Stegostoma tigrinum: one gene and its partners. The protein of the gene in region 3 binds, or shares a complex with, the protein of the main gene of each other region. Links are inferred from orthologs where the notes say so. Each region holds a gene or a part of one and is shown on either strand. Other genes may lie near its edges.

Region 1 (7,261 bases), about 46 Mb from region 3:
TTGACTAGATGATGCTCACAAACATAATTAAATTCTAGGGAAATGGAGAAGTCCTGAAAAGCAGCAGGGCTGGAGGTGGTTATAGATATCAGAGGGATGAGGCCATGGAAGGATTTAAAGGGGAGAGGAGAAAAAAAAATCAAACTACTGCTGGAAGCAGGAGCCAATTTAGGTGAGCAAGAATAAAGACGGGGCTGAACTGCCCACGAATCATACTAGAAACAGCAGAGTCTTCTTGAGGGTAGAAGGTGAAACTGCATTAAAACAGTCAGATCTAGAGGTCAAAAAGAGTCACAAACGAGGGGTGCAGCAGGAGACAAACTGTAGATGGGAAGAAGATAGGTTAAGCTACAGGATGGAAACAGGCAGCCTTCAGGTTAACAATAAGAGTCTTTGGCAAAACTAATGTCATATTTGATCCAACAGACTGGTTCAGTATCAGCATAGACCAGGAGTGAAACACAGTCATGATGTGTAAGTGGAATTTGCAGCAGGGACTAAAGGCAATGATTTCAAATCTTCATGTTGGTTAGCTGGAGATACTCATCATAAACGCTGAACTCAGCTTTTAGTGAGGACAGAAGGATTCCAGCTAACAACTAAAAAAGAACAACCACAAATGGGAAGAGCATATTTACAAACTGTCACTGGCAGCCGTATTCTAACTTGTATATCTCCCCAGAATTCTCATTCCGGAAGCAAAGCAGCTATGCGTAAGTTACCTGCTAATCTTACTTAAACTGACCAATATTTTCACAGGACAATGGTTTCAGGTGAATACAACAGCTCTACTCAAGGAGGTTACAATGAGGGAAAGAGGTCATTCAGCCCCTCATGTTGGTATTGTGTATAAACAAGTGTTCTGCATATATCTCAAAATTCAACTCTGCTCCAAAAAGGGGCTGTTGTAGCAGAGTGGAGTGGTAACATCCCTATTCCTGGGATAAGTGGCCTGTTCAAGTCTCACCTATTTCAGAAGTGTGTAATAACATTTTTCTAATCAGAGACAAGTTAAATTTAGAAAAAACTCTACTCCAAATTCCATTAACCACTGAGGTACTTTCTCTGGAATGCATCCAATGTCAGTATATCTTCCCTTAGATAAGGGGATCAAAACTCTTCACAGTTTTCAGCTGTGGTCTGATCAACACCTTGTCCAATTTCAGCAAGATGACACTAAGCTTATATTTTATTCCCTTTGCCTTCCCCATTACACACTGAACTTCAATGCTAGCTTTTTGTGATTCATGCACAAAAGAGCCCCCTACCCCTTGGAGTTGCAGCTTTCCACAGTCTTTCTCCATTAAAATAATATTCATCTCTTCTACTCTTCCCGCCAAAGTACATAACCTCACATTTTGCGATGTTATACCCATCTACTGAGTTTTTCCAGCCATTCATTTAACTGTCTATATCCCCCTAATCTCTCTCACACTCACTGCTTGCTTTTTCACCTGTTTTTAATGCTATCCACAAAGGTGGCTACAGTACATTCAGCTTCATTAATACAGACAGTAAATAACCGTAGCTCCAGAACTAATCCCTGCACACACTACTAGTTACAGGCAGTCATCCTGAAAACAAACCCTCTACTCAAACTCTAGCTATTAGCTAGCCAGTCCTCGACCCAAGAAAACATAACATACAAACATATCCATGCCCACACCATTAAGTAGTCTGTGTAGTTCTGGAATGAGCGCATTTTGGATGAGCAAATATCCAGTCTCTTGTTATATCAAAAAACTGAAATAAATCTGTGACATGAGGCCATGCTGACTCTGCCTGATCATATTAGCATGCTCCATATCCTTTATAACATACTCTGACGCCTTTGCAGCTACAGATTCACTACATGGGGCAGCTTGTTCCTGGACCTGAAATGATAACTCAGTACCTGGAGTGAGAAACAGTCAGAGCCGTTGAGCTTGTCTGGGAGTTTGTTTCTCTAAACCCGCCCTGTCAAGATCAGTCAGTATTTTACTATTTTTCAGTTTGCCTTTTGGCCTCTAAAGAAGCCTGGCCTAGTTAACTTTTCCTTACTATCAACACACACTTAATAGACCAATAAGCCGAAATACTGCGGCGCAGGAGGCCGTTCGGCCTATCCCCTTCATTCTTGACCCGGATACAAGGGGAAAACAGTCCAATCAGACCCCCCCCGCCATGTGTCTGTGAAACCGTGTCGGGAAACCTGCCTGACCCTCCCCCCCCCGGAAAGTGGGGGCCGGCTCGTCGGGAGGGTCCCCGCAGCTACAGCGCCTGATTGCTGGAGCTGACCTTTCCCATACCCCGAACCCCGTCAAGGCCCAGGCTGGTTAATCCACCCACCCCCAATCACCGGGATCCAAGCCTATCTCTGCTCAGGCCTCACTCACCGCCCACTGCCAGCTCGGATAGCCTTCCCTATAGTCAGTCACTTCATCCGCTCCGTCCCGGTTACACACTTCAAGTAGCCCCCGAGGCGGCTGAGGTTCGACCACACGCCTAGGCCAGGCACCGCCTACTTCTCCCACGTGACATCTACGGGACACGCCCACGCTGCGCGCACTGATTGGCCAGTCTTAACATCCGTCTGGAAAGGTGTTCGTCGATTGGATTATTTGACTGTCAGTCAAACTTGATTCGCAACAACATTGGCTAATAGACGCAAAGGCTCCCGAAAAGGCAGCGCCCTCACATTCCATTGGTCATTTTCTCGACCGGAAGCCCCGCCCACCCACAATCTTGACAATCCCATTGGTCGCCTTACATGTCATTCAGGACTGGGCAACGTGGGCCTTAGACGGAGTGTTCTGGGGCCATTCGCTCTAGCTGCAGGTCATGAAGGCGAAAGCCGCGAATTCTCGGGCCTTTGCCTTTCTTGCTTCTCCCGCCGGCAACAGTTTCGGGAGCTCGGTTACCATCTCGGTTCAGCCTGTTTCCCATACGCACATAAACCTGCGATCAACTGTCACTCCAGGCGGGGTCAGTAGTAAAACATAGCGGCGTCGGTCCCCACTTGACCCTCTTTCCCGGTCCGGTGTTCCCCGCAGTCCCTCACGTCAATCAGCCGCATCCGCCGTTCCGATTGGCTGTGCGACTTGGGCTCGCCCCTATGACGGTGCGTGATTGGTGTATTCAAACAATCCTGCCTGTTACAGCGCTGCTGCTGTTGTTACCCGCTGCGGCCCGCCTCTTAAAAGGGCAATTCCTCCAAATGGTCCATAGGAGGTGAGGAGGCCCTTCAGTCCTGCAGGTTCCTTTTGCGCCTCAACTGGATGGTCGCTGCGATAGTGGGAACTGCAGATGCTGGAGAATCTGAGATAACAAGGTGTGGGGCTGGATGAACACAGGCCAAGCAGCATCAGAGGAGCAGGAAGGTTGACATTTAAGGCCTACACCCTCTGATGAAGGATCAGCCAGAGGCCTCGGCAACTGTTTCTGGAGATGTCTGCCAAATCTCATCATAGTGGCTGGCGACATGTAAATTTGAACAATAAAATGTAGAATGTAAAACTAATCTCCATGATGATGACCATGAAATAGTTAATGGTTGTTGTATGCCCCCAGAAGAAACCCTAGAGGAAACAGGCCTGGCAGCCTCTGGAGAGTTTATTAGATTCAACATCAAATTTTTGTATAATCCCTGTGGGAACGTGCCATTTGGCCCAACGAGTCCAAACCAGCCCAGACGAGCATCCCAACCAGACTCTCCCTCTTACCCGAAATAATGGGAACTGCAGATGCTGGAGAATCCAAGATAACGAAGTGTGGAGCTGGATGAGCACAGCATCTCAGGAGCACAAAAGCGGTCTCGGCCCGAAATGTCAGCTTTTGTGCTCTGAGATGCTGCTTGGCCTGCTGTGTTCATCCAGCTTCATACTTTGTTATCTCCCTCTTACCTTATCCCTGTAACCCTGCACTTCCATTTCCCACAGCTACTCTGCCAAACCCACACATTCCTGGACGTTGTGGGCATTTTAACATGGCCAATGCACCTAATCTACTCATTTTTTTGGATTGTGGGTGGAAACCCATGCAGGCAATCAGCTGAGGCTGGAATTGAACCCAGGTCCCTAGTGCTTAAGGCAGTAGTGCTATACCACTGAGGCACTCACTGGGGACGCAATGGCCTAGTGGTATTATCACTGGACTGTTAATCCAGAGACCTGGATAACATTCTGGGATCTGAGTTCAAATCCCACCATGGCAGATGTTGGAACTCGAATTCAATAGAATATCTGGAATTATGAATCCATTGTTGATTGTCAGGAAAAACCTATCTGGCTCACTAATGCCCTTTAGGGAAGGACACTGCCATCCTTACCTGGTCTGGCCTACATGTGACTCCTGACCCTCGGCAATGTGGTTGACTCTTAACTGCCCTCAGGGTAATTAAGGATGGACAATAAATGCTGCCTGGCCAGTGATGTCCTTATCCTATGAAAGAATTTTTTAAAAAACTTGATTTAATTCTTTTTCCGTAGGACAGGGCAATAGCCTTATGATCCAGAGATCCCAGTAATATTCTGGGGATCCAGATTTGAACGGAATGTGTATGGCTGATGGTGGGACTTAACTTCAATAAAGTATTTGGAATAAAACTGGTGTGGATTTAGGAAATTCTGTCTGGTTCATCAATGTCCTTTAGAGAAGGGGACTGCCATTCTTTCCTGGTCTGAACTAGATGTGACTTACCAACCCACAGCAAGATGTTGACTCTTAACCGTCCTCTGAAATGGCTGAGCAGGCCACTGATCAGATTAGATTTTGTATGCTACAACATCTTGATTTTTAAACTTCTCAAGATTATTTCAAAATACCTCCGCGGACGCACACTTCCCTGTCTCTCTAATTTCTGACTGGCCCGCAACCCTCTGGCATATCCATGCCATCCCAATTCTGGCCTGTTGTGATATCCCCAATTTTCATCAATCCTGCCTGAGTGTTGCTGAACAAAGAGATCTTAGAATGCAAGTTTATAGTTCTTTGAAAGTGGAGACACAGGTAGATAGGATAGTGAAGAAGGTGTTTGGTATGCTTTCCTTTATTGATCAGTGTATTGAGTATAGGATTTGGGAGGTCATGTTGCTGAAGTATAGGACATTGGCTAGCCTGCCTTCGGAATACTGCATTCATTTCTGGTCTCCCTGCTTTAGGAAGGATGTTGTGAAACTTGAAAGGGTTCAGAAAAAGATTTATAAGGATGTTAGATAACAAGGTGCAGAGCTAATGAACACAGCAGGCAAGCAGCATCATAGGAGCAGGAAGGCTGACGTTTTGGGTATCGAAGGGTCTAGGCCCGGAACGTCAGCCTTCCTGCACCTCTGATGCTGCTTGGCCTGCTGTGTTCATTCAGCTCTACATCTTGTTATCTTGGCTACTTTTTCACACACAGAGGGTGGTGTGTGCATGGATTCAGCTGCCAGAGGAAGTGGTGGCGGCTGGTACAATTACAACATTCAAAAGGCATTTGGATGTGTATGTGAATAGAGGGATGTGGACCAAATGCTGGCAAATGGGACTAGGTCAGATGGGGGTGTCTGGTCAGCGTGAATGAGTTGGACCGAAGGGCCTGTTTCCATGCTGTACAGCTCTATGACTCCATTGGTGGCCTTCAGCAATGTGGGCTCTGCACTCTGGAATTCTCTCCTGAGTTTTCTCTGTCTCTCTTTCTCCATGCTCCAATAAAATTTTGTGCATCATCTTGTACTTATTTAGGCTTTGAAGCACGTGCAGAAGGACATACAGAAACATCAAGACCTGCCTCATTCAAAGAAAGAGAGCAAGTGATGCAGAGGGCCCAAACAGATGAAGACATCATTGCCAGTGCCTGTGGTCGAGTGCTTAAAATCAGGGACATTTAAGAAGCCAGAATTACACAAACAGATTTCAGAGAGTTGTGGGATTGAAGGAGATGACAGAGATAGGGAGGAGGCAAAGCCACGGAAAGAGTTAAACACCAGTTAAAGAACCCTGTAATCGAAGCAACCAACATGGATCAAGGAACACAGGAGCAGAGGGTGAATAGGGTTTGCCACAAGTTTCTACCTTTTTGTTATTGCAAATTACTGAGGATAGGAAGTGGGAATCCTGCAAGAGGAGCATTAGAGTAATCAGAGCTTGAGCATAAATGAAGGTTCCAGAAGCAGATGTGTGGAGATAGGGATGAATCCAGGCAATATTAGGGACCTGGGTGATGTGATAATTTGGTTGAAAAGTCATCATGGGATTGAATGCGAGACTAAGGTTTAAACTGGTACGTTTCAGTCTCAGTCCGGTGTAAGGGCCAGGAATGGATTTGGAAGCCAGTGACCAGAGTTTATAGTGGGGAGCAAAACCAATATTTTCACATTGTTCATTTGGAGAACCTCTATCACATGGTACTGAATTTTAGTCAAACTGTATGACAACTGAAGCTCATGCAAGGGTGGGTCTTTGGTCTTTCTCTTATCATTGAGTCAGAGTCAGAGTGCAAACAGCATGGAAAGAGGCCCTACAGCAGCTTCTCTTTCTTTTTCCTCTGGTCCCCTATGATACCATAAGATAAAGAAGTAGAATTAGGCCAATCAGTCCATCAGGTCTGCTCCATTGTTTTATCTTGGCTGTTAGGTTTCTCAGCTCCATTTTCCTGCCTTCTCCCTGCTGTGATCCCCTTACTTATCAAGAACCTATCTATCTCTGTCTTAAATGCACTAAATAACTTGTTCTCCACAGCCCTCTGTGGCAATGGGTTCCACAGATTCACCACCCTCTGGCTGAAGAAATTCCTCCTCATCTCAGTTCTAAAGGGTTGTTCCTTCACTCTGAGGCTGTGCCTTCAGGTCCCAATCTCTCCTACTGATGGAAACATCTCCACATCCACTCTATCCAGCCCTGTCGGTATTCTGTAAGTGAGTTTTGAGAAGATTTGTAGCTCAGGTTGAGGATCTGGATGTGAGTTTGCTCGCTGAGCTGGAAGGTTAGTTTTCAGACGTTTCGTCACCATTCTAGGTAACATCATCAGTGAGCCTTCGACGAAGCGCTGGTGTTATGTCCCGCTTTCTATTTATCTGGTTAGGTTTCCTTGGGTTGGTGATGTCATTTCCTGTTCTTTTTCTCAGGGGATGGTAGATTGGCTCCAAGTCAATGTGTTTGTTGATGGAGTTCCGGTTGGAATGCCATGCTTCTAGGAATTCTCGTGCATGTCTCTGTTTGGCTTGTCCTAGGATGGATGTGTTGTCCCAATCAAAGTGGTGTCCTTCCTTATCTGTATGTAAGGATACGAGTGATAGTGGGTCAT
Region 2 (7,566 bases), on a different chromosome or scaffold from region 3:
CCAACTTTTGCAACTGGGTAGATCTAACTGACTGCCAGACCTGGAATAGAGATTGTAACGTAAACTGTATTAGTTACAGTTAGATTATAACCTAAAAGTGCCAAATGTTATAGTGAGGCTTTTCATCCACTTGTGAATCAGCCGAAGGAGTCTCAGTAAATCAATTACAAGGGTGAAATTCAACAGTTTGTTAGACATGCCAAGTACTGCTTGGAAATGCCATCAGATTAGAATAGATTGAATGCAGGGAGCCACAAGTTAAGAAGCAACAAATACAAAAATTCTACTGAAAACAAGTAGTTACTGATGCAGAATCACTAACGTTATAGTACTACCGACAGCATCACTTTGCTGAATTAAGGGTACTTGGACTGAGCAGGCTTCAGCTGCCTGATGTATGTACCATCTATCTGATGTAACTAACTGGAAACAAACATTCTATTGACAAAGAGCATAGACGATGTGTGGTATCTGCCACTGCAGCAGATGCAGTGTACAAGTTCTGCCCTCATAAATTTAAGACAAGAATTGATTGTGCACTGTGTTTTGTGTTCTCTATTGTGACATAGGAACAGGAGTAGACCATTCAGCCTCTTGAGCTTCTCCTGTCACTCAATAAGATCATAATGGATCTGTATCTTAATTCCATATATGCCATTGCTAACAAAATCTATCAATCTCAGTTCTGAAACGTTCAACAGACCCAAAGTCAACAGCCTTTTGGGACAGAGTTCTGGACTTCTGTCAGCCATTATGTGAAGAATTGCTTGCAGACCTCACCTATGAACAGCTGAGCTCTATTTTTAAGGTTGTGTTCCCTAGTTCTGGGTTCTTTCACCACAGCACAGTGTGGTCTTACTAGCCTATTTTAATCATCTTCAAATGATCTTTAATCTTCCACTGATATTCTGAGTGCCTTTTGCTGGGTCCTAAATCAGAGCTTTGTTCAACTGTAACATTACTTGTACCTCTTTGTATTCCAGCTCTCTTGAGGTATAGAGACCAATATTCCATAGCCTTTTAAATCAGCTTCAATAAAGTTACACCAAATGTTTTTCTTTACTGAATTATTCAGACTTCCTACCCTTTGTGATTCTGGGCATTTTATTCTGTTCTTTCGTCAACTGTCTTTTTTCTCCCTGGTGACTAAACATTTTGATTTCAAGATCTCTGTCCAAATACAGTGCTACATGTGAAATTCACTCTTCTACCATCACCCACAGATAAGAATAACATATAATTCATAGATTAGTTTCCTATTTCTGCTGGTAAGGTTTTTGTTATATCTTTTGAGCTTGAAACAAAGCATGCGAATGAGCAACAAGATATTTGATTAGATATATGGAAGCAGGAAGTTTTCTTTCTTAGGAAAATTATGACAGATTTTAAATGCAGTAGCTGATTATTTTTTGTACATATGGATAAAACTAAACCTCTTCACAAAATACAATTCCTCTTATTGGAAGTGGAAACCTGGAGGGATGGCTGTTCAGTCATACAGCACAGAAACAGACTCTTCAGTCCAACTGGTCTGCGCCAACCAGACATCTCAATATGACCTAGTCCCATTTGCCAGCATTTGGCCCATGTCCCTCTAAATCCTTCCTACTCATATCAATGTTGTAATTTAAAGTCGCCTAAATGGCTTCCTCTGGCAGCTCATTCCATACATGCATCACCCTGTGCGTAAAAAAAAACCCCTCGGGTCCTTTTTAAAATCACTCACTTTAAACTCTTAATAATAAAATGTGAGGCTGGATGAACACAGCAGGCCCAGCAGCATCTCAGGAGCACCTGAGAAGCTGCTGGGCCTGCTGTGTTAATCCAGCCTCACATTTTATTATCTTGGATTCTCCAGCATCTGCAGTTCCCATTATCACTTTAAACCCTTTAAGTTTTGGACTTCCCCACCTTAGGGGAAAAGACCTGACTATTCACCCTATCCGTGCATCTCATTATTTTATAAACTTCTGTAAGGTCACCCCCTGGCCTCTGACACTCCAGGGAAAAAAGCCCTAGCCTATGCTGCCTCTCCCTGAAACTCAAATCCTCCAGACACCGCAACATCCTTGTAAATCTGCGCCTTCTCAAATTTAACAATGCCTTTGCTACAGAAAGATGTCCAGGATTGTGCATAGTATTCTAAAAGTGGCCTCCCCAGTGTCCTGTACAACCACAGCACAGCATCTCAATTGCTACACTCAATGTTATGGCCAGTAAAGACAAACATGCCAAATGCCGCCTTCATCATCCTGTCTACTTGTGACTCCACTTTAAAGGAGCTACAAATCTGTATCCCTAGGTCTCTTTGTTCAGCAACACTCACCAGGACACTACCATCAGTTCTCAAAGTTAGGATTTGTTTAAAAATGAAGCTTATAATTAATGTTCATTAAAACCAAGTTCTAACTGTAATTTGAAAACCTAGATTTTAATAAAAGGACAGAGAAAATGAGTTTGCAAACCTTGGACTGCAAAATACCAAGGCATATTGGAGAAAATCAGTAAACAAAAACTTTAAGTTTGAATATCACGAATTCAAGACAAGTAAAAATCATCAAAAACTGCTCATTCAGGACAAATGAGAAATCACAATTACCTAAAGTTTAGACAATTTTTTTTACATCTCATCATTAGTCTATTGTTTGAAAGAACTTGCATTTATTCAGCACCTTATGTAAACTCAGGGTGCCCTAAACTCTTTACAGTCAAGTAAATACTGAATGTAGTCACTGTGGCAACTTAGTAGGCAATTGGCAAACAGCAAGGCTACACAATCTTCGATGAAATAATGACTAGCTAATCTGTTTAGTGATAGTTGAAGGATAAACATTAGCCTTAACACTAAGGGGAACTTGTCCGTTCTTATTCCAAAAGATGTTATAAATCTTCAACATTCACCCAGTATATCAAATGGGGCCTTTTTTAAAACCTCCCTTCTGAAATAACAAACTTCCAGCAGTGTAGCATTCCTTTAGCATCACACTGATCTGGATACCTATTGTGTTTAATTTTCAACAGTGGGACTTGAACCAACAAACTGACTGATTAGTGAGGGATCTACCACTGAGTACAGACTGATTCAATTTTTCAGAAATGAGATTCAAGAATTGATGTTTATTGCTGTATCTGCAGCTACTTAACTACCATAATAGTGAAAGCTAAATGCATTTAACACACTACATATGACTTTAACCAGTGTTTTGTTGAAAAGCAAAATTTAAGTGAATGTCATTACAATGTATGTACTTCTCCTTCTTCACGAATAACAAATGAACGACCATCAGTGAATATAGTCCATTCATAAGAACAGAAACAAACCCAGCAATTTTTCATTGTTCTTCGAATTTTAGAGTCTAAAGATATGCTTGCAACTTGTGACGTCACCGTTATATACACACGTAGGATGTTAAGAGGGTATTAATACCTTGATTTGATTTTTAGTCAGGAATTTCATGGCTTTTTAAACACATTTGGGAGTAAATTTTGTTTTAAATTTAACCAGTGAGAGTGACTGGCCAATGTTGAAAACCCGATCTTTGATAATCCCTACGCAAAAAGTTTAATGTCAGCAAGTAATCAGTTTCAAAGACACCAACTCCTAGTTATTTTTCCAAGGGCACATCAAACAGTGGCATTTGAAACCAAATTTACAAAATTTCATTCTACTCGAATGAGACAAGGAAAGTTTGAGAGTGTATTTAGATGGAAACAGTTGACAGCAACCCATTGGCAACAGCGGGGTTCAGAAAACAGATTGCACATACTCAGTACAAAATGTCCAAGCAGGCAAAATAAAATTAACAATCAAGAGTTTAGTACTCAAATTTCAATTGTTATATTAGGGGTGTCAGTCAAATATAGCAAACCACTGGTAGATAACGTAAACTGATAGTCAAATAAGTCTTTCAGCACAGCAATGGTTTGATTAAGCTGTTCATTTAGTTCCAGATAGATAAGGTACACACCCTAACTGTCCAGTTAAAATTCAAACGAGAGGGAGGGGTCGGAATATCGTTTAAAAAAAAAAATCAGACGAACGGTTTACAAAACATGGATTTTAGCGGAGTCAAACAGTAAAAGAAATAATTTTCTCAGCCAGATCTCTATAGTGGCCTTCGATAAAGAATAATAGCAAGGGATAGCCATTTATAAGAATTCGCTGGTGCAAGAAAAGCGTTCGATTACTCGTAGAGAAATGAAAATAATGATAGAATGAATATTACCATCTAGCGGAAAAGAAATCTAGACTAAAACTAATGTGCATATTTTTTTAAGAAAAACCAATCTCACCAAACGCAAGAGAGGAGCAGGAAGGCTGAGGTTTCAGGGATAGACCCGAAACCTCAGCCTTCCTGCTCCTCTAATGCTACTTAGTATACTCTATTCATCCAGCCCTACACCTCATTATCTCAGATTCTCTAGCATCCACCTTTCCTACTATCTCTCACCAAATAGACTCACCTGTCACCTTCCAGGAGGCGGCCATAATGAAAGGCCAATCACGTGACACGAACAGTACCGTTGAAGTCACGTGCAGAGGGCCGTGGCACCCATGGATGGTCACGTGCAGTGGGTCGGCTTGGATGTTGGTCACGTGAGTGCGTTGGCAATGGCGGCGGCGGCGGGCCCTTACGTGAGGTAAAATGAAATATATGAAACTTTATTTTTTTCTTAAAAAACAAAATGGAAAGCACAGTTTGAGTTTGCGCCGATCAGTTCTGCGAAGCAAGTGTGTTTTCTCGGAAACAAGACCCGGTGGCCGGTATTTGTCTGTCTATCTGTGTGTGTGGTTCCTGTGGGAGCGCGGGGCTACAGTTGGTAAATGGATGAGAACGCGGTGAACACGAGTTTACGTTCAAACTCTATCGTGCCAGGAAAGGGTTTTGGTTCTTTTGGGATCATAATTTTAGATTTTTAACTTGTTCACTTCGTAGATAGACCATTGTACATTGTGGCTGTACCGGTAACTTATTTTCCCCTCGCTCCGTTAAGGGACACAAATTTACGAGAATCTGACAGGAAACTGTTTCTGTTCTCTCAACCCCCCACCCCCTTCCTGTCGCTCAATGATCTGAAAAGTTCTGCAGTATCTTCAAATAGCACCTGATACTCTCGGGTCGTTACCAACACTGAAAAGCAGTTCCAGCGTCTATAATTTAGAAGTCCATACATCTCCACAATTCAGTTTTAGTCTGCCCATCTAATCTGTGTCTGGCTATTCCAGTTCAAGATATAAGGAAAGTTTAGTGCAGTGCAATTTCTTTCCTATAATAGTGTCAATGAGACTGACTGGTTACTGGGATCGTACTTTTGTTTCAATTGACTGTATTTCAACATTAAAAATACAGTTTTCTTGTTTAAAAAAAACCTCTCCTTTTATTTTCTCCCTCATTTCACCCAGTGGAGACAGTATGAGGAGCTAGTACTGTTAACACAACTTTTGTAGTGCTTGGTGAGTTCTACAGTTAGCAGCCCACGCAGTTACAATAGTTTCTTGTCAGTGATGGTGGAGTAAACTTGTTATCATCTTGATATGAAGTTCAGATTTTTTTTATGGATACTTGATTAAATATGGCCAATATATCATGCAACCAGAATGTGGGGAGCAAAGAATAGTTGATGTTTTAAGTGCAAATATTAACTTTTTTGATTTTGTTCTTCAGTGACAGAACTTTAGGTCGTTTGATTTTGAAGTGTCCTTTTTCTGCTGAATGATGTTGGTGCTATCATTCAAGAGACATTCACTGAGCTAAATCGCCCATAGGGATGTGTAGATTAGGTGGTTTATAGAGGGATGGGTCTGTGTGGGCTGTTCTGAGGTTCGGTATGGACGTGGAGGGCCAAAGGGCCTGTTTCCACACTGTAGGGTTTCAATGATTCTGTGTCATCTTGACAATTGTGCAGGACAAATTTGTTTGTTCACAGGATAATTTTGACTTGCACGATTAAGTGGTACATCCAAGGTGTTTTTCCTCAACATTTCCTTTCTCTTCCTCTCTTTTTTCCCTTAAGATTTCCCTTTAAATCTTTTTTCTTTTGAAGTTTTTAGTTACCTGTTGTAATATTTATTTGGCTTGGTTTAATTTTATCCTGTTACCTTGTGTAGAGCTTTGGGATATTCTCCTGTGTTCATGCTCGTCATTCCAGCACTGCAGCTGGTTACTTGGCTCTTTGATTCCACTCTGAATTCTGTATAAATGCAACTTATTGTTAATGAGTCACATTTTGTGGTATGCACTTCGTGCCACCTGCTTGATGTATGGTATGTTTGGGCAGCACTAGCTTCTTTGGCCATCAAATAAAGGGTTTAGGGACTGCTATTTTGCCACTGGTCTACCAACTCCCTTTATGTATTATGTCTTTAAAGTTAATATCTGCAATTTTCTTTTGCTGCCCCAGTCCCTGGTGTAAAGTTTCTTTTTAAAAAAGCATTTGTTTGAAAATTATTTTCAATCTTAAAATATTTTCTAGGGATTAAAAGAAGTTTTGTTTCTCCTCAGACTGGAGCTGCTAGCTTCTATTGTAGAAATATCGAAGCCCCAGTGTGGAAAAAGGCCATTCAGCCAACAAGTCCATGCTGACTCTCCAAAGAGCATCCCACCCAAATTCACCACCCCACCCTATCTTTGTAAACTTGTATTTCCCATGGCTAGTTCACCTAACCTGCACGTCTTTGAACTGTGGAAGGAAACTTCTGGACAAAATCAGCACAGACACAGACACAGAGAACGCACACAGGCGCCTGAGGCTGGGATTGAGCCCAGGTCCCTGGCGCTGTGAGGTGTGCGTCCGCTTAAATTTAACAAGGAGTTTTTAATAGCTTTTGGGTCATGCAGGATTCATGTATCCTCTTTCAACATGATTTGAATCTGGGTCAGAATTCTTAAAATTCACTCATGGGATGTGGCAATGCTGACCTAGTCAGCAGTACCTCCACTAAATTCTCTGTAAGTGGTAAAGTACCTTCTTGAAGCACTGCAATCCACAGGGGTTAGATACACTGACAATGCTGCAAGGAGAGGAGTGTGCAGTATAGAATAGGGCCTCCATGTTCCAAACCTGAATAGCAAATTCCGATGAATTTTTGGCTCTGCTTTCTATATCAGAAAATATCTACTAAAATTTGGAGCTGGACGATAGCAGAATTAAACACAATGACATACAAATTTGTTAGTGTTAAATTTGGATTCAATAAAAACAAAACATTTTCAGTCTTTTTATCAAGACAAGTCATTAAAATTTAGAGATAATGCCATGGGCACCCGCATGGGCCCCAGCTATGCCTGCCTCTTTGTAGGTTACGTGGAACAGTCCCTCTTCCGCACCTACACAGGCCCCAAACCCCGCCTCTTCCTCCGGTACATTGATGACTGTATCGGCGCCGCCTCTTGCTCCCCAGAGGAGCTCGAACAGTTCATCCACTTCACCAACACCTTCCACCCCAACCTTCAGTTCACCTGGGCCATCTCCAGCACATCCCTCACCTTCCTGGACCTCTCAGTCTCCATCTCAGGCAACCAGCTTGTAACTGATGTCCATTTCCAGCCCACCGACTCCCACAGC
Region 3 (6,838 bases):
GCCTTCCAGTCCAGGCAGCATCCTGGTAAACTTCCTTTGCACCCTCTCCAAAGCCTCCGCATCTTTCCTATAACAGGGCGACCAGAACTGGACACAATACTCCAAGTGTGGACTCACCAGGGTTTTGTAGAGCTGCAGCATAACCTCGCAGCTCTTAAACTTGATCCCCCTGTTAATGAAAGCCAAAACACCATATGCTTTCTTAACAACCTTATCCCCTTGGGTAGCAACTTTGAGGGAGCTATGCACTTGAACACCAAGATCCCGCTGTTCCTCCATACTGCCGAGAATCCTGCCTTTAATCCTATATTCAGCATTTAATTTCGACCTTCCAAAATGCATCACTTCGCATTTATCCAGGTTGAACTTTATCTGCCATTTCTCAGCCCAGCTCTGCATTCTGTCAATGTCTCGCTGAAGCCTGCAATAGCCCTTGATACTACCAACAACACCTTCAACCTTTGTGTCATCAGCAAACATAATAACCCACCCCTCAACATTCTCATCCAAGTCATTTATAAAAACTACAAAGAGCAGAGGCCCAAGAACAGAGCCCTGCAGGACACCACTCAGCACTGACCTCCAGGCAGAATACTTACCATCTACAACCACTCTCTGCCTCCTGTCAGCCAACCAATTCTGAATCAAGAGAGCCAAATCACCCTGCATCCCATACCTCCTGACTTTATGAATATTTTCAGCATACAAACAGATGTTTTCCTTCCTCAGAAAAGATGGCAGCTGGGGTGACATTTCTGATGAAGGGTCTAGGTCCGAAACGTCAGCTTTTGTGCTCCTAAGATGCTGCTTGGCCTGTGTTCATCCAGCCCCACACTTTGTTATCTTGGATTCTCCAGCATCTACAATTCCCATTATCTCAGACCTAAAACGTTAACTGGTCGTTTCTTCACAGATACTACTATACCTGTTGAGCTTTTCTGGCAACTTGTTTTTGTTCCTGATTAGCATCCATACCTTCAGTTTTTCAGTCACAGGCTATAGAATACTTTCCCTATAGCTCTCTGCCTCGCCTTCCTCCTTTAAGGCACAAAGGACCTGCTCCTACGACAGTTTTTTGTTATCTGTCTTTTTAAGTCAAATGGCTCAGTCTCATATACCATATTATAGTGCTTTTTTCAAGCACATCAGGACAATTCACTATTTTAAAGCACTGTAGGAGTTGATCTTCCTCTCTGTATACATTACATACACACTAACATCAGGAACAGAAAAACATCTGGTAACAGAATACAATTGGAAAAGTTAGAGTTTAAAACTGGATACAGAGAACAAGATGGATAACATAAGTATTTTAAAAGATTTCAGCATTTATATTGTTTCTTATCACTACAACATGGATTTTGTGGTTTTGATTAGTCAGCCAACTTTAGTCAGTGCATAAACTGTAAAACTTTTAGGATAGCCCAAGGAGATTTGTTTTAAAATAGCACATACTGGAAAAAATTCTTTACCTCTTTGCAAGTTCATACTCCTTGGCTTCATAATAGAGTTTTGCAAACAAAAACCCTTTGAGGGATTTCTGAAAAGGAAGTTGGAAGGTGATGTGAAATAGACAAAAATTTAAAGAGTACACTTCAGAAAAATTCCTGGGGATATACAAATTTGTTTAACAGCTCGCTGCATAAAATTCATCAATCGGTACAAACCATTATTACATCTGCAAACAAAATAAGAAGTCAATGAACTACTTGTAGCAATTCGTATATTTCACATGCTGATGTGAATAGAAACTATCTATTAAGCCTCTATCAGAGATAATGGGAACTGCAGATGCTGGAGATTCCAAGATAATAAAATGTGAGGCTGGATGAACACAGCAGGCCAAGCAGCATCTCAGGAGCACAAAAGCTGACGTTTCGGGCCTAGACCCTTCATCAGAGAGGGGGATGGGGGGAGGGAACTGGAATAAATAGGGAGAGAGGGGGAGGCGGGCCGAAGATGGAGAGCAAAGAAGATAGGTGGAGAGGGTGTAGGTGGGGAGGTAGGGAGGGGATAGGTCAGTCCAGGGAAGACGGACAGGTCAAGGAGGTGGGATGAGGTTAGTAGGTAGCTGGGGGTGCGGCTGGGGGTGGGAGGAAGGGATGGGTGAGAGGAAGAACCGGTTAGGGAGGCAGAGACAGGTTGGACTGGTTTTGGGATGCAGTGGGTGGGGGGGAAGAGCTGGGCTGGTTGTGTGGTGCAGTGGGGGGAGGGGGTGAACTGGGCTGGTTTAGGGATGCAGTGGGGGAAGGGGAGATTTTGAAACTGGTGAAGTCCACATTGATACCATATGGCTGCAGGGTTCCCAGGCGGAATATGAGTTGCTGTTCCTGCAACCTTCGGGTGGCATCATTGTGGGACTGCAGGAGGCCCATGATGGACATGTCATCAAGAGAATGGGAGGGGGAGTGGAAATGGTGTGCGACTGGGAGGTGCAGTTGTTTGTTGCGAACTGAGCGGAGGTGTTCTGCAAAGCGGTCCCCAAGCCTATTAAGCCTCTATGACTAGTTTAGTTTCTTCAAAAGCGGGATCAAAACTGAAAGTCTGGATGAGCTTAGTTTATAGAATCCAGCATCGCCAAACTTCAAGAGACCACTGCCGCCTGCACTATGAAACAAAGTGCTAAACTACAGCTGCTTAACAAATTGATAGATTTTTGCTTAACTCCTCAGAACACAACCGCAGAGCCTGCGAGGGGCGAGGCCTAGGAGCTGAGGCCACAATCTGCACTGCCCGCGCTTTCCTGGCCAGCGCAGCCCGCAGCGTTGGACACTCACCTCACGGGGCGACAGCGGCGTGACGCCCTGCACCGAGGCAATGTACCTATCCACCTCGGCCTTGCTGCGCATCATGCCTCAGGCCGCTGTGTGTACAAGGTTTGATAAACGCCGCTCCTCAACAGACCAGTTCCGGTCCTACACCATCCCTTCCGATGGTGAACACAGAGCTTTCAACACCGGTTCCGCGATGCCGCGCGGCCAAACTGTGCCTAATGGCGCACACTGCGCCTGAGCCTTCGCCCGACGCTCGCCAATCACAGGCCTGCCGCTGACGTCACAAGGAACGCCGGACGTAATCCCGAGGTAACGGCCACAACGTATGCGAGATTACATCCAAATCTCGCGAGGTTGAAGTTTTGGATTCGAATGAGCAGTTTTATTTTGATGCTCCATAGTGAGAGGTTTAATCCGGTCACTGAACGTGTGTTCACACATAAAAGGTGTAATCTTTTGTCACAAACTCACAGGAGGTCAGTTTATTTTGTGCAAAAACAGAAATTGCTGGAAAACCTCGGCAGGTCTGGCAGTATCTGTGAAGATAGATTAATAAGAGAACTCACTTATTCAGAAAGGGTCAGGACGTGTAACGTTATCTCTGCATTCTCTCCACAGATGCTGCCAGACTTGCTGAGCTTTTCCACTAGTTTTTGTTTTTGTTTCAAATTCTGGCATCTGGTTTCGAATCTAGTTTGTATTATGTCTTTATTGCATTGGCACTAAATTGAATATTTTGTAGTGAGCAAAAGGCAGGTTACTATGGCAAACCATGAGCACTTGAGTACCACTCTGTGTACTTTGTGTTGTATTTCTATGCCGAACAACATTTTCAGTTGCAAAAATAACAAAATTGCATGGCATGTGTTACTATTTACAATGTGGGACACCGAAACTACCAAATATGCACGTGTTCCAATCTATTATATAAAAAAAAAGAACTGCAGATGTTGGAAATCAGAAACAAAAACAGAAATTACTGGAAAACTCAGCAGGCCAGGCAGGATCTGTAAAGAGGAAGACAGTTTACATTTCACATGCAGTGACTCTTCATCAGAAAGATTCTAATAAAGGGTCACTGGTCTCAAAAGGTTAACTCTTATTGACTGGCTACTAACAGTGAAAAAAACTGCTCCATTGTATGAATTTATGCTCCTGCAGTTGCAACCATAAATTGATGCATTCATTTCCACTGTACACAATTGAAATGACAACTGCTCTAGGCAAGTTGTAGGTTACCACTTGGGTTGACTTTTTCGAAGTCAGAAGTTACAGGACCCTCGGCTATAGTCGAACAGGTTTATTTGAAATCACAAGCTTTTGGAGCACCTTCATCAGGTGGCTTTGACTGCTGAAGCCAGACAGGAGTGTTGCCTCCCAGTCAGGAAACAATTCAGCAGTCAAAAGTATTCAGCCTCCGATTGTTGGGTAAGCATCCTCCAAAGTGGACTTCAAGAAACACAACAATGCAGAAACACCAAGCAGGGACTGATAACCAAGTTCTGTACCCATGAAGACGGCCTCAACTGTGATCTTGAGTTCATGTCATGCTACATGTGACCTCAACGCACTTCTGCACCTGTAAAGTCTTCCTTATTGGCTGTTTTGACACCATCTCCTTGATAAATTGTCATGATCTCTCATACTTACTACTTTGGTTAGGCCTTCAGCATGTGACTCTTATACCTATCATGTTATTCCAGTCATTTAGTATGTCTCCAGCAACATCTTGCTTTTGATTTTTTGTAATTCTCTCTCTGTCTCAATTAGCCAGATTATAGATCATCCCTTCACTGGGTAATCAGCTGTTGACACTTTTCTCACGGTCCAACACTCATGGTCACCTGCAGAGACTTATTATCTGACACTCCACCCACACCAGTTAGCATGATCTTTTGATCTCTGAGCCCTTGATCTCTCTGCCTATAAACTCTATGTCTGTGTGCTTCTCTCTCACTGCACCCGATCAAAGGGCTACACTCGAAAAGCTTGTGATTTGCAATAAATCTGTTGGGCCAAAACCTGGTGTCCTGTGAGTTCTGACTTTGTCAACCCCAGTCCAAAACCGGCACCTCCATTTAATGATCTCGTCAATATATTGAACGTTGCACCCTGACTGACTCCGCAGTGCTCAACTCTGGAAATGGGTTACTAGTCTTATCAAAATTAAATTTGGATTTCTGCTATTTCAAGATAACAAGTTGTGGAGCTGGATGAACACAGCAGGCCAAGCAGCATCTCAGGAGCACAAAAGCTGACGTTTCGGGCCTAGACCCTTCATCAGAGAGGGGGATGGGGAGAGGGAACTGGAATAAATAGGGAGAGAAGGGGAGGCAGACCGAAGATGGAGAGAAAAGAAGATAGGTGGAGAGGAGAGTATCGGTGAGCAGGTAGGGAGGGGATAGGTCAGTCCAGGGAAGACGGACAGGTCAAGGAGGCGGGATGAGGTGGTAGGTAGGAAATGGAGGTGCGGCTTGAGGTGGGAGGAAGGGATGGGTGAGAGGAAGAACAGGTTAGGGAAGCAGAGACAGGCTGGGCTGGTTTTTGGATGCAGTGGGGGAAGGGGAGATTTTGAAGCTGGTGAAGTCCACATTGATAACATTGGGCTGCAGGGTTCCCAAGCGGAATATGAGTTGCTATTCCTGCAACCTTCGGGTGGCATCATTGTGGCCCATGATGGACATGTCGTCTGAGGAATGGGTGGGGGAGTTAAAATGATTCGCGACTGGGAGGTGCAGTTGTTTGTTGCGAACCGAGTGGAGGTGTTCTGCAAAGCGGTCCCCAAGCCTCTGCTTGGTTCCCCCAATGTAGAGGAAGCCACACCGGGTACAATGGATACAATATACCACATTGGCAGATGTGCAGGTGAACATCTGCTTGATATGGAAGGTCATCTTGGGGCCTGGGATAGGGGTGAGGGAGGAGGTATGGGGGCAAGTGTAGCACTTCCTGTGGTTGCAGGGGAAGGTGCTGGGTGTGGTGGGGTTGGAGGGGAGTGTGGAGCGGACAAGGGAGTCGCGGAGAGATTGGTCTCTCCGGAAGGCAGACAAGGGTGGGGATGGAAAAATAGCTTGGGTGGTGTGGTCAGATTTTAGATGGCGGAAGTGTCGGAAGATGATGCGTTGTATCCGGAGGTTGGTGGGATGGTATGTGAGGGCGAGGGGGATTCTCTTAAGGCGGTTGTGGCGGGGGTGGGGTGTGAGGGATGTGTTGCGGGAAATGCGGGAGACGCGGTCAAGGGCGTTCTCGACCACTGTGGGGGGAAAGTTGCGGTCCTTGAAGAACGTGGACATCTGGGATGTGCGGGAGTGGAATGCCTCATCCTGGGAGCAGATGCGGTGGAGGCAGAGGAATTGGGAATAAGGGATGGAATTTCTGCAGGAGGGTGGGTGGGAGGAGGTGTATTCTAGGTAGCTGATGGAGTCATTGGGCTTTAATTGGACATCAGTTTCTAGCTGGTTAGCTGAGATGGAGACAGAGAGGTCCAGGAAGGTGAGGGATGTGCTGGAGATGGCCCAGGTGAACGTGAGGTTGGGGTGGAAGGTGTTGGTGAAGTGGATGAACTGTTTGAGCTCCTCTGGGGAGCAAGAGGCAATGCCGATATAGTCATCAATGTAACGGAGGAAGAGGTGGGGTTTGGGGCCTGTGTAGGTGCGGAAGAGGGACTGTTCCACGTAACCTACAAAGAGGCAGGCATAGCTTGGGCCCATGCGGGTACCCATGGCCACCCGCTTAGTCTGTAGGAAGTGGGAGGAATCGAAAGAGAAGTTGTTGAGGGTGAGGACGAGTTCGGCTAGGCGGATGAGGGTTTCGGTGGAGGGGGATTGGTCGGGCCTGCGGGACAGGAAGAAGCGGTGGGCCTTGACGCCATCTGCATGGGGAATGCAAGTGTATAGGGACTGGATGTCCATGGTGAAAATGAGGTGTTGGGGGCCAGGGAATTGGAAGTCCTGGACCAAAGGGGAGAAAATGGAGTCCAGATAGGTGGAGATGAGTTCAGTGGGGCAGGAATAGGCTGAGACAATGGGTCGACCAGGGCAGGCAGGTTTGTGGATTTTGGGAAG
Region 4 (7,096 bases), on a different chromosome or scaffold from region 3:
CGAACCAAACTTCTCTAAATTTGAAGAAAGACTTCACTACTCCTGTAGCTAAATGGTTTGCAATAAAAGCTAGCATTCTGTTAGATGTCTAATAGCTTGTTGCACCTGACTGTTAACTTTCAATGAGTTATCAAGAAGGACACCTTGGTCCCTTTGTACATCTATACATTCCAAGTGGTTTCCATTTGAAAATATTCCACACATCTGTTTCTTCTACCAAAGTAGGTAACTTCTTTACTTTTGCCCACATTATATCCCATCTGCCGTGTTCTTGCTCACTCACTGAGCCTTGTCTAAATCCCACTAAGCAACATTTTATCTTCCTTACAAAACATGTTCTCATTTAGCTTTGTATCAAATCATAATTTGGAAATACAGTTTTAAAATAGTGATGACGAAGGATAGAGCGGATCTAAGTTAAAGTTCTAAATTGAAGGAAGGCCAATTTTGACAGTATAAGGCAAGAACTTTCAAATGTTGGTTGGGTGTGGATGTTTGCAGGTAAAGGGATGGCTGGAAAATAGGAAGCTTTCAAAAATGAGATAGCGAGGGTCCAAGAGAGAATCTGTTAGGGTGAAGGGCAAGCTTGATCGGTGTAGAGAATGCTGGATGACTGGAGAAATTGAGGTTTTGATCAGGAAAAAGGAGGCATATGTCAGGTATAGACATGGAGTGAATCCTTAGAGTATAAAGTCAGTAGAGTATACTTAATGAGGAAAATCAGGAGGGCAAAAAGGAGACTTGAGATAGCTTTGATAAATAGATTAAGGAGAATCTGAAGCAATTTTATAAATACATTAAGGACGAAAGATTAACTAGGGAGAGAACAGGGCTCCTTTTGATTAGCAAGGCCACTTAAGTGTGGAACCGCAGGAAATGGGGGAGATACTAAATGAGGATTTCACATCAGTAGTTATTGCAGAGAAGCATATGGAAGATAGGCAACATAGGGAAATAAACAGTGACATCATGAAAAATGTCCAAAATACAGAGGTGGTGATGCTGAATGTCTTAACATGCACAAAGTGAATAAATCCCCAGGACACGGGACAATCAACATAGCTTTGTGCTTGGGAAATCATGTCTCGCTGACTTGAATGAGTTATTTGAAGAAGTAACAAAGAAGATCAACGAGGGCAGAGCAATGGACATGATTTATTTGAACTTCAGCAAGGTGTTCAACACGGTTCCTCATGGTAAGCTGGTTAGCACGGATAGATCAAATGGAATACAGTGAGAACTAGCCACTTGGATACAAAACTGGCTCAAAAGGTACAAGACAGAGGGTAGTGGTGGAGGTCTGTAACCAGTGGTGTACCACAAGGATCAGTGCTGGGTGCACTGTTTTTTGTTATTTATATAAATGATTTGGATGTAAACATGGGAGCAATGATTTGTAAGCCTGCAGATGACACCAAAATTGGAGGTGTAGTGGAAAGCAAAGAAGGTTACTTTAGAGTACAACAGGATCCTGATCAGAGCGGCCAAAGGGCCGAATAGTGAAAGATGGAGTTTAATTTAGATAAATGTGAGGTACTGCATTTTCCCTGGAGTGACGAAGGCTGACGGATGACCTTAGAGACATTTATAAAACCATAAGGGGCAGTGACAGGTTAAATAAATAAAGATCTTTTCCCAGGGTAGGGGGGTCCAAAACTGGAGGGCATAGATTTAAGGTGAGAGAGGAAAGATTTAAAGAGGACCTAAGGGGCAACCTTTGCATGCAGAAGACACTGCCGGTATGGAATGAGTTGCCAGAGGAAGTGGTGGAGACTGGTACAATTACAACATTTAATAGACATCTGGATGTGTATATGAATAAAAAGGGTTTAGTAGGATGTGGGCCAAATGCTGGCAAATGGGATTAAATTAATTTAGGATATCTGGTCAGCATGGACGAGTTGGACCCAAGGATCTGATTCCGTGCTGTACACCTCTACGACTCAGACTCTAAGTCATTGATACGCCACACACATAAATATTGTGAACAGCTACGGCCTAAGTATTGGTCCTTGTGTTACTCCACCAGTTACAGCCAACCAGCCTACTACAAAAATAGTCAAATCAGAAAAACAAAAATCACAAAACAGAAAGACTGGTTGGCAAGTCAACTGATTGGGGTCTCGGCCCGAAACGTCAGCCTTCCTGCTCCTCTGATGTTGCTTGGCCTGCTGCGTTCATCCAGCTCTGCACCTTGTTATCTCAGATTGTCCAGCATCTGCAGTTCCTGCTATCTCTGATTGAACAGATGTTGCCATGGAGAATGCAGCAGGGGTACTGCAAGCTCCCAGCTAATTCAAAAACTCACAACGCTTGGGTATTCTTCTTTTATTGGCAAACAGAAGGGTCCCTGCACGGGTGTATGTCACCTCCAGCAACTGAAGATCCACAACTAATGATCCTAAAGCGGTGGCTGATGTGACTTGTATCGAGTTAACCGATAAATTCCAGAACATCGTCGGGCACTGAGGCTACACATGCCAGATACTGGCTAATCAAATGAAAAACAGCAGCGACAATACTCACACACGGTTAGATGGCACTGTGCAGCACAATCCTAACTACTAAACCAAGCAGTAGCGTAACTGAGGCCGAATACAAAGGCACTTGATGCCGATGGAAGTGTTGAGAGACTACGGGTAATTCAGGCGTTTAAAAGGACAAGCCGTTGTGTAGGAAACTGTCAACGGCGGTGTTAGCGTTCGGCCTCCTCACCACAGGGCAGTGATAGAAACTGCCCACTGGCGACATAGAGGCCGCATATTTGACATAAACTGTACAAAAAAAAGAGAAATCAAAGAGGACGCCGTTTTGGGATCACTGACCTCCCAACCCCAACCCCAACCCCACCAAGAAGGCGGGGGGGAAATCAGGGTTTTTGTTTTTCAAGGCTCTCCGTTCAATGACACCAAGCAGCGACCTACCTCAGCGGGAAACTCATCGCAGCCGTAACAGAGCCCGACTGCACTCAACGAAACCTGGAGGACGTACCAGCGCCAAGACCCACCTTCCGACTCTCCTCTGTGCCCATTCGGCAGAATCGGGCATCACCAGCTCCGCTTACGATAGGACAACCTGCAAACCACATCCTCCAATTGGGTAAGAGAGGTGTCAATAATGTGATGTTCGCCAACCGTCAATGGAAGCTCGCTGAGCGCGGTTACACATCAGAGGCCGTGGGCGGGGTTCGTGGCGCAGAGAGTTTTGCTGGGAGGTGCGGAGGCCATAGGTAATCATTCCAGACAGACTACAGACAACTGTTCTCACAGTATATAAAATACTTTGCAAAAACTGGCAGTCAGAATTCAAAAGTGGTGTTGATTGTATCAGAGTGCATACTAAACTGTGCATCAACCCACCGAATTCAACTCGAAGGTCAAAACTGGGAAGGATCATAAACCAGTAAAGGCATCGGAATTTACTGTGGAGAAAGACATGGCAGCTTGGGAACTCCGGAAAATAAATAGGAATATCTTGAAAAGAGTCCACGTTACAAAAGAGGTGGTGCTGGAGTTATTAAAATACATAAGGTAGATAAATTCCCGGGACCTGACCAAGTGTATTCCAGGATGTTGTGCGCAACTTCGAAGATAGGAGCAGGAGGCGGCAATTCAGCCCTTCATGCCTGCTCTGCCATTCATCACACATAGCTAATCATCTAACTCAATAGCCTAATCCTGCTTTCTCCCCATAACTTTTGATCCCATTTGCCCCAAGTGCTATATTATCTAGCCACCTCTTGAATACATTTAATGTTTTGGCATCAACTACTTCCTGTGGTGATGAATTCTACAGGATCACCAACTCTCCGGGTGAAGAAATGTTCCATCTCCGTCCTAAATGGTATATTGTAAATCCTTAGACTCGGACCATTGACACACCCAGACTCAGGGCGCACCCATCATCGGGATCATCTTCCCTGCATCTACAGACTGGACCTGTTAGAATTTTATTAGTTTCTATAGGATCCCCCCTCATTTGTCTGATCTCCAGCAAAAACCATCCTATTCTAGTCAATCTCTCCTCATACGTCAGTCCCATCATCCCTGAAATCAGCCTGGTACAAAACTTCACTGCACCGTCTCGAGATCAAAAGCATACTTCTTCAGAAAAGGAGACCAAAATGGCACACAATATTCTAGGTGCAGCCTCACCAAGGCTCTGTATAACTGCCACAACACATCACTGCTCCTGTACTCAAAACATCTTGCAATGAAGGCCAACATACTATTTACCTTCTTTACTGCCTGCTGCACCTGCATGCTTAACATCAGTGGCTGGCACACAAGGACACCCAGGTCCTGCTGCACACTCCCCTGTCCCAATTTACAGCCATTCATGTAGTAATCTGCTTGTTTGTTTTTGCTTCCGAAGTGAATAACCTTACATTTATCCAAATTATACTATAAATGCCTTTGATTTGCCCATTCACCCAACATGTCCGACCATGCTGAAGGCATCTACATCATTGTTACAGTTCACCCTCCCATCAAACTTGGTATCATAAGAAAACTTTGAGATGTTACATTTTGTTCCCTCATCAAAATCATTTAATATATTGTGAATAGCTGGGGTCCCAGCACCACTCCCTATGGTATCCCACTAGTTACTGCCTGCCAATTTGAAAAGGGCCCATTAATCCCTACTCTTTGTTTTTTCTCTGCCAAACAATTTTCTATCCATCTCAATATACTTTCCCCCATCCCATGCACTTTAATCTTGCACAATAATCTCTTATGTGGGACTTCTGTCAAACACTTTCTGAAAGTTCAAATATACCACATCACCTAGCTCCCCCTTGTCAACTCTACTAGTTACATCTTCATAGAATTTCAACAGATTTATCAAGCATGATTTCTCCTTCATAAATCCATGCATTCCCTGTCTGATCCTGCCACTGCTTTCTAAATGCCCCATTATAAAGTCCTTGATAATGGATTTGAGAATTTTCTCGACTACCAACATTAGGCTTACTGGTCTATAATTCCCTGTTTTCTCTCTCCCTCCCTTTTTGAATCTTGGTGTGACATTATCTACCCTCCAATCTGCAGGGACTATTCCAGAGTCTATAGAATCCTGGAAGACGACCACAAATGCTTCCACTACTTTTCGGAGCTAGGGAAGAAATTATGGGCCCCCTAGCAGAGGTATTTACATCACCTATAGTCATAGGTGAGGTGCCATTATTTAGGAAAGTCTGCAGGAAAAGGCAGGGAACTACAGTCAGGTGAGTGTACCAATGGTGGTTAGGTTGTTGGAGGGGATTCTGAGAGACAGGACCTTCAGGCATTTGGAAAGGCAAGTACTGATTAGGGGTAACAAAGTGTGAAGCTGGATGAACACAGCAGACCAAGCAGCATCTCAGGAGCACAAAAGCTGACGTTTCCGGCCTAGACCCTTCATCAGAGAGGGGGATGGGGAGAGGGTTCTGAAATAAATAGGGAGAGAGGAGAGGCAGACCGAAGATGGAGAGAAAAGAAGATAGGTGGAGAAGAGAGTATGGGTGGGGAGGTAGGGAGGGGATAGATCAGTCCAGGGAGGACGGACAGGTCAAGGAGGCGGGATGAGGTTAGTAGGTAGGGAATAGAGGTGCAACTTGAGGTGGGAGGAGGGGATAGATGAGAGGAAGAACAGGTTAGGGAGGCGGGTACAAGCTGGGCTGGTTTTGGGATGCAGTGGGGGGAGGGGAGATTTTGAAGCTTGTGAAGTCCACATTGATACCATCGGGCTGCAGGGTTCCTAAGCGGAACGTGAGTTGCTGTTTCTGCAACCTTCGGGTGGCATCATTGTGGCACTGCAGGAGGCCCATGATGGACATGTCATCTAAGGAATGGTGGGGGGGGGGTAGTTAAAATTGTTCGCGACTGGGAGGCGCAGTTGTTTATTGCGAACCGAGCGTAGGTGTTCTGCAAAGCCGACCCAAGCCTCCGCTTGGTTTCCCCAATGTAGAGGAAGCCACACCGGGTATCACTGATTAAGGGTAGTCAGCATGACTTTATGCATGGAAAAACATGTCTCACAAAGTTGATTGAGTGTTTTTTTTGAAGAGGTGACCAAGAAGACAGATGAATGCATAGCAGTACACATTGTCTACATAGACTTTAGCAAAGCCTTCAACAAGGCCTGGGCATGGTAGACTGCTTAATAAAGTTAGATCTCAGGGGATCGGGGGGAGCTGGCCAACTGGATACAGAATTGTCTTGACGATTGGAGACAGATGGTAATGGTAGAAAATTGTTATTCAGACTGGAAGCCTGGGACCAGCAGTCTGCTGCAAGGATCAGTGCTGGGTCCACTGTTGTTTCTCAATTATATAAACTATTTAGTTGAGAATATACAAAGTATGGTTAATAAGTTCGTGGGTGACACCAAAATTGATGGTATAGTGGACAGTGAAGGAAGATTATCTCAAGCGAACAACAGGATCTTAATCAGATGGGCCAGTGGGCTGAGGAATCGCAGTGGAGTTAAATTTAGATAAATGTGAGGTGCCGCATTTTGGTAAGATAAACCAGGACAGAACTTACAGTTTATGATGGGGGCCTGGAATGAGTTCTTAGGTACATAGTTCCTTGAAAGTGGCGTCACAGACAGGGTGGTAAAGAAGGCAATTCGCACACTTGCCTTCATCAGTCAGAGCATTGAGTACAGGAATTGGGATGTCATGTTATGGCTGTACTGACATTGGTAAGGTCATATTTAGAGTCCATATAGACAAGTTGAGCTGAAGGCCTGTTTCTGTGCTTTATGATTCTATGGCTCTAAGTCACATTCAATTACTGGGTGGGAACCAAAGTTTTTCAATCACATCTAGAGTTAGGCAGGGCTGCTCACTCTCTTCTGCCTTGTTTGCATGTTGCAGAGAGCCTTTTTTTCTGAATCCATCAGGAAGGATGTGAGCCTGAGTATGATGACTATTCCAGGCAGGAGAGGCCTGCAGGTCAAAGTCACCCTGTATCGGGATCATATCACCATTTTCTGCTTGGATTCACTGTCAGTGTATAGAATCATGAACATCTGCGACCAGCTTGAACTGGCCTCATGAGTAAATTAAGGCAACAGCAAGATCATGTTCTTTGGGAACTGGGCTGACCGA

The links.
Region 1: ranbp2 (region 3) and nup98 share a complex: the UniProt entries of both Homo sapiens proteins name them as parts of the nuclear pore complex. The link is inferred for Stegostoma tigrinum from reciprocal best matches to the Homo sapiens genes RANBP2 and NUP98.
Region 2: ranbp2 (region 3) and nup188 share a complex: the UniProt entries of both Homo sapiens proteins name them as parts of the nuclear pore complex. The link is inferred for Stegostoma tigrinum from reciprocal best matches to the Homo sapiens genes RANBP2 and NUP188.
Region 4: ranbp2 (region 3) and cetn3 share a complex: the UniProt entries of both Homo sapiens proteins name them as parts of the nuclear pore complex. The link is inferred for Stegostoma tigrinum from reciprocal best matches to the Homo sapiens genes RANBP2 and CETN3.

What each region holds. Positions count from the first base shown.
Region 1 is NC_081359.1:111,734,731-111,741,991, forward strand, and holds the start of nup98 (nuclear pore complex protein Nup98-Nup96), read right to left. Parts: upstream 3,004-7,261; 5' UTR 2,750-3,003; intron 2,651-2,749; exon of another isoform or gene 2,376-2,650; intron 1-2,375. UniProt on the Homo sapiens protein: Plays a role in the nuclear pore complex (NPC) assembly and/or maintenance. NUP98 and NUP96 are involved in the bidirectional transport across the NPC. May anchor NUP153 and TPR to the NPC.
Region 2 is NC_081382.1:33,834,776-33,842,341, reverse strand, and holds the start of nup188 (nucleoporin NUP188), read left to right. Parts: upstream 1-4,564; 5' UTR 4,565-4,612; coding exon 4,613-4,641; intron 4,642-7,566. UniProt on the Homo sapiens protein: Component of the nuclear pore complex (NPC), a complex required for the trafficking across the nuclear envelope. Required for proper protein transport into the nucleus.
Region 3 is NC_081359.1:65,882,472-65,889,309, reverse strand, and holds the start of ranbp2 (E3 SUMO-protein ligase RanBP2), read right to left. Parts: upstream 3,020-6,838; 5' UTR 2,853-3,019; coding exon 2,778-2,852; intron 1,541-2,777; coding exon 1,473-1,540; intron 1-1,472. UniProt on the Homo sapiens protein: E3 SUMO-protein ligase which facilitates SUMO1 and SUMO2 conjugation by UBE2I. Involved in transport factor (Ran-GTP, karyopherin)-mediated protein import via the F-G repeat-containing domain which acts as a docking site for substrates.
Region 4 is NC_081356.1:93,260,204-93,267,299, reverse strand, and holds the start of cetn3 (centrin-3), read right to left. Parts: upstream 3,021-7,096; 5' UTR 2,942-3,020; coding exon 2,925-2,941; intron 1-2,924. UniProt on the Homo sapiens protein: Plays a fundamental role in microtubule-organizing center structure and function. As a component of the TREX-2 complex, involved in the export of mRNAs to the cytoplasm through the nuclear pores.